Linked DNA regions of Rhinolophus ferrumequinum. The protein of the gene in region 2 interacts with the protein of the main gene of each other region in a biochemical or structural test. Links are inferred from orthologs where the notes say so. Each region holds a gene or a part of one and is shown on either strand. Other genes may lie near its edges. The genes, in order: FNBP4, KHDRBS1 and FGR.

Evidence for each region.
Region 1: the proteins of KHDRBS1 (region 2) and FNBP4 form a complex in vitro, tested with the Homo sapiens proteins (2 studies listed by BioGRID and IntAct, with this or other methods). The link is inferred for Rhinolophus ferrumequinum from reciprocal best matches to the Homo sapiens genes KHDRBS1 and FNBP4.
Region 3: of the proteins of KHDRBS1 (region 2) and FGR, one has a biochemical effect on the other in vitro, tested with the Homo sapiens proteins (2 studies listed by BioGRID, with this or other methods). The link is inferred for Rhinolophus ferrumequinum from reciprocal best matches to the Homo sapiens genes KHDRBS1 and FGR.

What each region holds. Positions count from the first base shown.
Region 1 is NC_046294.1:13,562,165-13,565,910, reverse strand, and holds the start of FNBP4 (formin-binding protein 4), read right to left. Parts: upstream 2,197-3,746; 5' UTR 2,056-2,196; coding exon 1,833-2,055; intron 1,596-1,832; exon of another isoform or gene 1,528-1,595; intron 829-1,527; coding exon 736-828; intron 1-735.
Region 2 is NC_046292.1:21,978,356-21,982,101, reverse strand, and holds the start of KHDRBS1 (KH domain-containing, RNA-binding, signal transduction-associated protein 1), read right to left. Parts: upstream 2,272-3,746; 5' UTR 1,981-2,271; coding exon 1,599-1,980; intron 1-1,598. UniProt on the Homo sapiens protein: Recruited and tyrosine phosphorylated by several receptor systems, for example the T-cell, leptin and insulin receptors. Once phosphorylated, functions as an adapter protein in signal transduction cascades by binding to SH2 and SH3 domain-containing proteins.
Region 3 is NC_046292.1:18,958,760-18,962,505, forward strand, and holds the start of FGR (tyrosine-protein kinase Fgr), read right to left. Parts: upstream 2,297-3,746; 5' UTR 2,121-2,296; intron 99-2,120; exon of another isoform or gene 22-98; intron 1-21. UniProt on the Homo sapiens protein: Non-receptor tyrosine-protein kinase that transmits signals from cell surface receptors devoid of kinase activity and contributes to the regulation of immune responses, including neutrophil, monocyte, macrophage and mast cell functions, cytoskeleton remodeling in response to extracellular stimuli, phagocytosis, cell adhesion and migration.

The DNA.
Region 1 (3,746 bases), on a different chromosome or scaffold from region 2:
AGGAGGAATAAGCATCTATTATTTCAGTGTCACATAGTACAAAAAGCAGTCCAAACTGCAAAGAATAAAATTACTACCAATTATAGAATATTTAGTATCAAAACATATTTTAATTTTTCAAGATAGGTAGAAATTAGAAAACTAACACTTTTGGCATTTGCTATGTGTCAAAACTTTATACGCATTGTTTGATTTAATCATCAAATTAACTTAGGGCTGAAAGATCCATTGTATAGGTGGATGAGGTCCTGAGGCCTCAGAATGAATGCCAGAGTGGCAATTTAAACGCAGGTTTGCCTACAAAACCACTGTCGCAAATACTCTTTAGTGCTTAATAAGTATTTAATAAAAGCAATTTTCAGCTCCACAAACATTTGCTAGGTACCACCAAAGCAGTGTGTTAAAGAACACAAATCTAGTGGCGGGAGCCAGAAAATTCATTACCAAATGGCATTAGAAGAAAAAGTAGTGCAAAGTATTTTGGGTCCAAATAAAATGCAACAAATTTTACATTGGTTGAAGTGTGTGCGTGTGTATGTAGGATATATATATGTGTCTGTATGTAGTATATATATATTAACTCACAACAAATTCACAAAGATTTTAAATGTTCATTTTTATGGGATAAAGACAAATTAGCAACACCGAAGCATTCAACAACACTATATACAAACCCAATTTGATGCTAATGAAAGATACTGTAGAAAAGATGTAGAAAATAAAAACAATCTATACCTGTTGCTTTAACGGCTGTGGGTCTGGCAGTCATGACTGGTTTTGGAGGATTCTGAACAACTCTGGGAACCTCCACCACCACTTCCTGTTCATCTGGATTTAGAAAATGAACAAAAGAAAACTACAGTCAGATGATGGACCAGAGAAAACACTATAGGTGACAAAATAATCTTTGATTTAACCTTTCAACTCTAAATTTCATCAATTTAAAAGCAGGGTGTATAATCCATCACTGACCCAAATAAGTGGGAGATGAAAAACAAGTAGAGCTAGAATCTTCCAACTACCTAATTACTTTTTTTTATCTTTTCTTTTCTCCACCTAGTGACTTTAACATTAAGAACCTGAACGTTACCTATAAAAATTACACCTGAAATAATTTAAAAATACACAAACACATCATCTCCAGGCTACCACAGGGCCTTTACAACAAGCACAGCTATAGCATGTTTTTCCCCGCATGAGCTACCAACGTGATTTTTTTTTTTAACACCTAAAATAACCACTCCAGGGTCTGGCTTATAGAAGCGTTGTCCAGTTACTCTTAATTCAAGTACCATTCCGAGGAGAAACACACAAGTACTTGGGAACCCACAAGCTCTACTTCTCCAGGAATTTTTGGGATACCCGCCAACTTGGGCTTACTTACACTTTAGCTGGCATAGTAAAAAGGGTTTGCTCACTTCTAAAGGGTCTCTTTCAGTATCAACAAAAACGAAGGGAAAAGCGGATGATGTGCAGAAAAGATCAGGTTCCAGACATCAAGCCTCGAACGCGGAAACGCATACTCACATCTACCCCGTAAGTTATCCAATACCGAGCGTGGACGTTGACGAAACTCTGGGTGCCCGGGCCAACCCCTGCAACAGAGATGGCGCCTCTGGGACTGGCGCGCGCGATTCCGCGGCCCCTTCCGCCACGTTGGGGCACACTGCCGTCCTTCCCGCAGGCCCCACGCAGCAGGCCTCGGATGCAGACGCCGCCCGCCAGGATTCTCTTCCTCCCCGGCCTTGCCCGGGAGGTCTAGGCCGCAACAAGACCCGAGCTCGAGTTGTGGACGCCCCACCTAGGGGCCGAGGTCCCTCGCGCACCCTTACCTTCAGAAGGCGAATCTTCCGGGGCCGGGGCGGCAGTCACCGCGGTGGTCGTCGTCGGCGGCGGCGCCGGCGGGGCTGACTGGCTGGGCGCCACCGCCGTCGAGTCCGGCTCGGTGTCGGGTTCCGGCTCCGGGTCCCGGCCAGGTGTGCTGCTCCGGGGACCCGGTGGAGAGAGCTGTAAGATAGGCCTGCGGCCGGGCACCGCCCGGGACTTCTTCCCCATCGCGAGCCCAAGCGCGAGCTGCTAGCGTCGGACAGCCGAGAGGGGAGGGTGCTCGGCGTGGCGCTGCGTAATCAATATTCATGTACGGTGACCCCGCCTCCTGCGAGGATCCACTTTTAACCGCGGAGCGCGCGCCAGCGCAAGCGCCTTGAGCACTTTATGTTCTGGCTTCTCTCCCCAGAGAGGGAGGGCGGGCTTTATCCACCGCGCTCAGCGATTGGTTATTTTGACCCATTGAAGGAATCTTTAGCCAATTGAAAAGGAAAAAGAGTGAGCGTCAAGCCAATAGTGCGGAAGGGCCTGAGTTTAGAATTACTTGCCCATCACGTGGGGCTCCACCCAGGCATTTTTGCGGAGTCTTTTCTTCACCCTCTTGTCCTCCATCTTGTGTCTGTTTTGGACTTACTGTTCATCTTCGTTTGTCCTCTAGGAAGCTATGCTGATTTGAGGGCCTTTCCCCGAGTTTCACCCTGATTATTGTGGTTTACTTTGGGTATAGCATTGAACACTAAATAGAATAGTGGTCTTTTATGCTTTTATAAATGTTTATTTTAGCGCACAAAGATGATGTTGCTCATCAGCTGGGGGAAAAAATCACTAGAAGTGCAGCAGGATAGGTAGCCTAGGAAATTGACAACCCCCTCCAGGATACAACATGAAGGACCTCACTGGTTACACAAGTAACAAGTGACTATCCACCACCTGCAGCTGGAGAAAAACAACCAGTTTCATCCAGTAAGGCTAATCCCTATGACCTTGGGATCTGACGTTTAGCCAATTTTAATGTCATTATAATGTCATTTGCATTGCGGTTACTGTGCCTCCCATCATGCATCTGAGACCATGATGGTCTCGGAGGAATCATTTAAGGAAGAAAAAGGAAACGGAGGGTCCCACCCAGAGGGCTGAGATGAATGAATCACGTCAATGGGATGTCACCAGTTCCTTCCCTGGGAGGAATAAAAATCTCTGATCATGACTTCCTCCATGAGATACCTTCTCTCAGTTGGTCCACACTTTCTTCTCAAGATTTATTTCTGTTTTCAATAAATCGCTTTTGCTTTCCTGCATTTGTTTTGCTTGTGAATTCTTTCTTATGCAGTGTCAAGAATCTGGTCACCGCTGCTCTGGGTTGAGTTCTCTCTTGGACATACCCATTAGCCTCTGGTGACATTTCTGGCCACTCAGATGGGAAATCTTTGCCATTGCCCGAGCACTTAAGGTCTTGAAGACTCCCATGACAGAATAAGTTGGTCATGGATCAGGGTAGATTGGCTGTAGGCTTCCCTACCAAAATGAAGAAAATATCCGTGCAATGAGGTACACAGTTCCACAATCATACCTCTCCACTTTCCCCGTGGCAATTTCCCGTCTCAGGATTAGTACGGCCTCCGAGATTCTGGACTTCTCTGTTATCCAATCTGTCTGTCTAGCCTGTCTATAATAGTGGAATCTGTCGCGACAAACTATTTGCATATCCTGGGATCACTTTTTCATCCTCATCTTCTATGAACAGGCCCAGGCTCCCCTCCTCCTCTTTTGACTTTCCTGCCTTTTGGTCTCTTGCGGCCTCTGGGTTTGACAGCTGTCAGTCTGCTGCCCATGGCCCCAATATATCAGTGCTGATTGGGCACAGAGGGGTGGTCTCTCTCAGTGGTCTAGCGGTTAGGATTTGGCACTTTCAGTGCTGC
Region 2 (3,746 bases):
CCACTTTACAGTTGAGGTCACTGAGGTTCAGGAAGTTTCCCAAGTCAAGGGTCAGAATTTCAAGCCTAAGCCAAGACTTTAAAAGTCCTAAAGTTTGTTATTTTATCTCACAAATTTAACCTGGACTAATTAAAGACTTGAGGAAATAAAAATTAGACTACCAAGTCAACCTTTACTACTCGGACATTCCTAAATCTGCTTTCAAATTCAAGCACCTGGGGTTTGCTACATGTAAGACAATAGAAAAATATAAAGATAAAAAGCATTCCTTGCTCTCAAAAACCTTGCCAGAATACATGAACAGTAATGCTTCAAACAATCCATTACAGAACAGCAAAGCACTGAGTTCATAATGTAAACACTTTATCTAACTGTGCTTATTCTTGACCACTGAGTGCTTTATGCTTTTAAAGACCCCTTAGCAATGTTGGGAGATAGAGAACAAAGGGAGCGAAGTATTCTCATAAGGATCTGCCTGTTACATTAACCTTGTCAAAAAGTCCAGTTAGTCACTCATTCAGTGTTGAAGGCTGTGAATTTGTACTTATTAAAATTTAGGTATCATATAAGAACTACTTATTAAAACAACGTTTCAACTAGAAGTGAGGGCAAAACAGACGGCTTTAGGGAGAAATCAGAGCGACTAGGTGATTGGCTAGTGCAGAGCAGAAAAGGAGCAGCGACACAGAACAAAGACTATACTATTCCTAATCTATTTCACTACTGAAGCAAAAAGAAAAAAAAACACAAAGAAAAAGGCTTTCAGGTACAAGCATCGTGCAACTTCCTCAATTTTTGTCCATTTCGTTGGGGAATGTCATGCAAACCACCCGTTCCTCCCTCTTCCCAGTTTCACTGTCTCTAGGGTTATTTTTCCCCTTCTTGAATGATGGTGAACACAAGTTGTAAAATAAGAGGGTCCGTGCTTATTCTTGACCACTTCCAGCTCTGCAGCAATGATTATTTTAGGTGCAAGTCGGAAATACGATTCGGATAACCTCAAGCGTCGATTCCCACCGGTTGCTCCTACCTCGGAGCAACTTAAGCTCCAGTTACCGCTAAGTCTGACCCGGCCCTAGCAACCGCGGCGCGCTGGACAGGGCACTCCAGCCTCACCCCATCTCACCTCCGCCCGCCCTCCCACGGCCCCCCCTCGCTCAGGCTGTCTTCACCTCCTACACCCTCAGTTGAGGCGCCTACCGCCACCCGCAGACGAAAAAGCTTTCCCTTTCGGGGGCAGGGGGAGATAAAGGTTCATTTCTGGAAGAATCTGAGCACTCGGAGCGTGGGGCAGCTGCAAGAGGTGGGAGGGGGATCACAAAGGGGGCGGGAGCGCAGCACTATCCATCAACATCTTTGCACTCAGAGATCGCCAAGTGCCTTTCGGGCCTCCACTGCAGCCTAGACGTTCTCCCTCGCACCCAGGGCCGGGATGGGAATGTGCAATCCAGACTACCGAAGATGAGAATGAGGAAACGAGAAGGGGAGTTCATGACTGCTTTGGTCCCGAGGGGGCGGGAAGAGAGAAGAACAAAGCCGCTGCCACCCATGCTCCCGGGTGGCCGGGCGACCCAGAAGGACTCGGGAGGCCCGCTTACCTGCCGTCAGCAATTGCATGGCGTGAGTGAAGGACGGGTCGAGCGAGTCCTTCTCGGCCATGAGTTCGGGCAGGTACTTGTTCTCCGGCTCCATTTTAACGGAGGCAGTGGCTGAGGGGGGCAGCAGCGGGGTCGGAGCCGGACCGCCCACTGTCGTGTCGGGACCCGTGGCCGAGGGCGGCAGCAGCGGTGGCGGCTGCGTGGCGGGCGAGGCCCGGGCGGTCCCCCGGGATCCCCCTCCGCCTCCCCGGGACCGATGAGGCAGCGGCGGCTGCCGAGACGGCGCCTGACGTACTGAAGGGTGGGCACCCGAGGGGTCCATGGAGCCGCTGCGGCCCGAGGACCGGCTCATGCGCGCGGCGGGGTCGTCCCGGCGCTGCATTGGGGAGGATGTGCGATCGAAGGATCGAGGAAGCGACGCGGCAGCGGCAGAGGCCCGAGTGGCGGTTGGCGGGGGTAGGAGAGCAGGAGCGACGGCGACCGAAGCCGACCCGAGCGACCCAGCGAAAGAGCACCGGAAATGAGGCGTCGCGCGTGCGCAGCCAGTCTCCGGCACCGCCCTTGGGTCTCTCCGCGAAGAACAAAGTCCCCAATCGGGCCACGGCGCCTGCGCACCGGCGAGGAACCCGAAGATGTCGCCTCCCTGCTCCTCTTTTCCCTCGGAGCCCGCCAGGCCAAAGCCTTGTGCGCTTGCGCGGGTGGCGGCGGGCAGCATTCGTTTTCTCTACCACGTGACTGGGCGCTAGCGGGACACGTGTCTCCTCCCCCTTCGGGCCGAGTGCGCGGTGGGGGCGGGGGCTGTGGAATGTCTTTGTCTGCGCGCGGACCCGCGGAGTGTGGGGCGGGAGACCTGTTACTGGCGGGGCCACGCCCCCTCTAACGGCTCAGCAGTAGAGGGGGGTTGTGCTCAATGAGGTGGGAGGGGTTATTGAAGTAGGGGAATAAAAGGAGACCGGCGGGAGAGACGCGAGGTTGCGGGTGGCGTGGGTTAGAGGAGAAAATTGAGGCTGGCTGGGCCTGGGAAGAGAGGAGGAAGAGACAGGGCAGAGGGGAGGCTGGGGTGAAGAAGGAACGACTAAGGGAGAGTCTGACGCAGGGCTGAAGGGTGCAGATGAGAAAGGAAAGCTTGGAGGGAAAAATTGAGGAAGGACTCGGCAGTGGGAAGACTGAAGGCTGTTGGAGGACTTGAACTAAGATTCTTCCGCAAAAAGTGGGCTAGAGGCCAGGTCCATAATCCATGATGGTTGCATCATTAGGGTGGCTCCTTCTACTGATGTGAGTGGTAAGCCTCCTGCCTCTTTTTGGGCCCTTCACACTGGATTCTTCCAGACCTGTTCAAAGAGATCCTTACCACTGCTCTCAAGGCCAAGGTGTATAGTGGACAGTCTGCCAACGCATTCTCCTCATTCTGGTGCCTTCTTTAACCTTTCCTTCCTTTCACAGATATTTGCTTCTCCCTTTCTAAGCACTCCCATCCCTTTTCCTTCTGGATCAGTTTCCCAGAATAAGCCAACGCTTTTCAGGAGCATTTCTGGAAATTATCTTCTGGGTGCCTGGAAACTTTTGATTTTGGGATCTGAAACTTTGAAGCCTTCAACAAGAGAACATTAAGGCCTGGCAACCTTGTGAGTGGGGGAGAGAAACCACCCACAGAAATGAGAACAAAACACAAATATCTTCACAAATTATCACATATATAGATATATTTCTGGTGTCAGGTGCAGTACTTTGAGGTCACAAACGTAGTTTATATTCAAGTAGGAGGAAAAAAAGAATGTTTTAAATAATTGTAATGAAAAATTGTAATGTGACAAATGCCAAGAGATAAGTGAATATTAAGTACGATTGGAGTTCAAAGCACAAGATAGATTTTGGCCAGAGGAGAATGAGTTCCAGGCAAAGGGAAGCGTGAACAAATGAGCAGAGATGAGAATGTCAGAGACGCATTTAAGGAATGGGAGTAATCGAGTTGTGAACTGTGAAGAAATAGTGGGGGGAGACATCAAATGCATGGAGGAGGGAAAGGGGGCAAGGAGGATTTATAGCTCCCTTGCAACTCATTTCTGCTGCTGTCCTTGAACATTCTGCTTGGGTGATGGTGTTACAAATGGCTGAAGTGTCCTTGTTGTGTAATGAGATGCCCAGATG
Region 3 (3,746 bases), about 3.0 Mb from region 2:
CATCTGTTGCTGAAAACATACTCATCAGCCTCTAAAACAGGAGTCTTTAGAAACTTGAGATTCTTGGGAGCTGGGAGACATGTGTGGTCCAGGAGGAGCTGAGGAACAGGAGTTTAGATTCCACAGTGTGGCCAGGCAGGAAGCCCCCACCCCGGGTCCCCCCTTAGGCCTGCTGGAAGGGCCCTTACTCTCCCTTCTCTGGCTCTGGGGCCTCGCTACCCAGCTTCTCAAGGTCTGGCCACTTCCTTTTCCACATCAGCCCGAGGTGGCTGCAGAGAACACCGAAATACCCACACCTATTCTCAGACACTCATGCTCATTCACTCATTCCCTCACAAACACTTCCACACCCTCACTCACAGCTTCACACCCACTGAGGAGCAGGAGCCAGCCCTGAAACCCAGGAATCCCATATCTTCTTGTACCATTGCCCTTCACCCATTCCCCTCTCCAGAAGTTTACATTGGATTTGGTAGGGATGAGGAGGGAACTTAGGCCTCAGTTCTGGCTACTTCCTTCACCACATCAGGGACAAAATGCCCAGGACTCTGGATCCCTACTGTTGGCCCTGTCAGTCATTGACTCCCAAACCTCCATCTTCCCATCTGTGAAGTGGGAACAGAGCTCTGCTCTCCCACTACCACCACCAAAAGCAGAAGGAGGCAAAAGGACTCAGAATCACAGGGTGTGGCACCGTGGGGGTTGGGGACAGATTTCAAACCTGCTGACATTCCCTTAACAGATCACAAACATTTATTTATTAGACGTCAACTGTGTGCTGGTCCTTGGAGGCCCTGTCAGGCTTTCTGGTTTTTGAGAAGGTGAAGGGGAGGTTCCCTGGGGTCAGTGATAAATAACTCTTAACCCCTCCAGGACACTGGGCAAAAAATGCTTTCTGCACCTGATTCTCATGACTGGGGATGAGGTGGGATCTAGCGGTTGGATAGGGGCAGAGATCATTTCCCCCTATAATTCAAATGAGGAAAATGAGGCCCAGAGAAGCCCCATAACTTGCCGAAAGTCACACAGCAATCAAGGGCCAAGTCTACCCAAGTTCTTGAATCTGCAGATCGCCCACCCCAGGATCCCTGAACACCAAGCATCATCGCTTTACTTCTCAGTTCCGCAGCCCGCCTCCGACTGAGGACACAAAATGGGGGCGGAGAGGGGACCAAAGGGGACTGTGAGGGCAATGTGCACTACAGTAGCCAAGTGCCAGGCTCTGCCTCTCCGCCCTCTTGTTGCCATGGTGACAGCCCCTCCCGGCAATCACGGTCAAAGGCAGGATTTCCGTCGGGGCAGCCAGCAATTCCCGGATCCCGAGGGGGAACGTGGACCGAGAGCGCCACTGCGGGCGGGGAAGGGGCACCCAGAGAGGCCTATCCCTGTTGAGGCGGGGACTTCCCCAGGAAGCCGGGACCCACGCCTCTAGCGCCTTGAAGGAGTCCCCTCTCTATGTACAGTCCGCCGACCAGTGCGGGGTGGGGAGGGGGCTGATAGGTAGCCGCCTCCGCTCCACCCGCCCCGCCCCCCGGCTGGCTACAGGCTTCCCCCCCGACTTTTGCCGATTCCAGATTGGAGGACTTCATGGAACCCCGGAATTGCGCCCTACATTCTGCATCCTCCACAGATGGCTCTCCTTGACCCCTTCCAGCAAACTCCCACACCTGATCCTCCCAGTGCCCTCACCTGCTTCCCCTCTTCCAGACCCCTCAGCTTCTCCCCAAACCCTCAATTTCAAGGTTCCCTCAGTTTCTCGCCCAGCCACTTTTGGGGGTCCCTTTAGTCCCTCGCCCCCGATTCAGCCCCCTTCCCCAATTCTATCAATCTCACTGAAGAGGTTCCCTCCGTCTTCCCCACCAGACCTTTTTTTGGGGTCCCTTTAGTCTGCTTTCCATATATTCCCTCACCCTCCTCCCCACATTTTATCACTCTTACTCTCCAGGTCTCCCGTTTTCCTCTTTAGCTTCTTTTCGGGGTGGGGCCGCTTTGGCCCTCAACTCCCTCAGTCCCCCTCCCTAAATTCAGGCTTACCCCACCTAGTCCTCCCTCCAGGGCCGCAGGCAGGCCAGGGGCGGGGCACCGCGCTGCCCCTCCAGCCCCACCTGACGGCCGCCTACCTGGTGCCAGGGGAGGCGGCTTCTGACGAACCTCAGGGCGAGCCAGCTGGGCTCCCAGCAGCCACAAGTGCCGACGTGTGGAGGGAGAAAACTGGGGTACTGCCCGCCTCTGACCGCCGCCCCCTCTGGGCAGGGAGGAGGAAGCCGTCTCGGACTTCTCTTATTGCAGCCGCAGCGGCAACAGCGGTGGCGGCGGGGAGAACTCGCAGTCACGCCCCTGCCCCAAGCTGCCGGCAGCGGGGAGGGGCCCTCAAATCCCAGGCAGGTCCGCCCGCCCCCACTTTCCGCCTCGGTTACGGGGGTCGGCTTTCCCACCCAACTCCTCCCCGCAGACCTGAACCCCCAGGACAGACTTCTTAAGGGCCTCTTCCAAGGGGACAGGTTCCTGCTCCCACCCAGAAGCACCAGCTCTTTTAGAATCATTGCATTTGAGGTTAAGAGGGTTTTTTCTCTAGCATTGAAGCCCCCATTTTGCAGGTGGGAAAACTGAGGACCAGATGAGGACAGGCCTTAGCAAATTTTCACAGCCAGTTGACCTCACACTGCTGTGACCAGAGCCACCAGTCACCATGCTTTGCCATCCTCAGGGGCTGCTGGGTGCTGGGGACACAGAGATGTCGGACAGTGGGAGCTGCAGGAGACCCTATCCTTAGGAAACTGCTTTTCAGAGCAATCAGCCATCAGCCCAAACTAAGGGAGGGGGAGGGTGTCAGCCTCCCCCCCCACACCCAAGTTTTAGAAAAACTGAGTGTCTTCCTCTATCACAGTTCCAGCCTTTCCAACTAGCAGGGATCCCTGAACCCCCTCAACCTGGGGTTCAATCCCCCCTCTGGCCACTGTTACTTTTTTAGCCTTAAACTAAGGACAAGGAAAGTCCCTCCTGTCAGGGGAAGAAGAAATGAGTGTAACAGGGCTGTTTGGTGGAGAAGTGTGTGTGTGTGTTGGGATACGGTGGGAGGCCGGGAGGGTGTGTGAGCACAGATGTGTGTGTGTGTGTGTGCGCGTGCGCGCACGCGTGCATGCGATTGTAGTCAGTGAACACGATGACTGCAATTTTGCAATCAACTGGGACACATTCTGCATGTATGAAAATAGGGATGTCTGTGAATGCCTGTGTGTGCGTGTGCACTTGTACATGCACCAAGGTGTATCCCAATGTGATTGTGGGGTGGCAGACTATGGTGGAATGCAGGTAAGAAGGCTTTCTCCTTAGGAAAATGAGAGAAGGAATGGGGAGGAAGACACAGGGAAGGAGGTGAAGGTGCAGGAACTTGGGAAGGATGGCCTTATGCTTGCTGGGCACCATCTTCTCCACTATCAAGCACTCATTGACTGGCCATTGGTCCATGTGTTTTTTGTTTTAAAGACAACTTTTTGGGGGGACAGGGGGCAATATTGGGGAACAGGGTGTTTCTCCAGGGCCCATCAGTTCCAAGTTGTCCTTCAATCTAGTTACGGAGGCCCATCAGTTCCAAGTTGTCCTTCAATCTAGTTACGGAGGGCGCAGCTCACTGGCCCATATGGGAATCGAACCGGCAACCCTGTTGTTCAGAGCTCGTGCTCTAACCAATGAGCCATCTGGCTGCCCCCGGTCCATGTGTTTAATGAACAAACAAACATTTACCA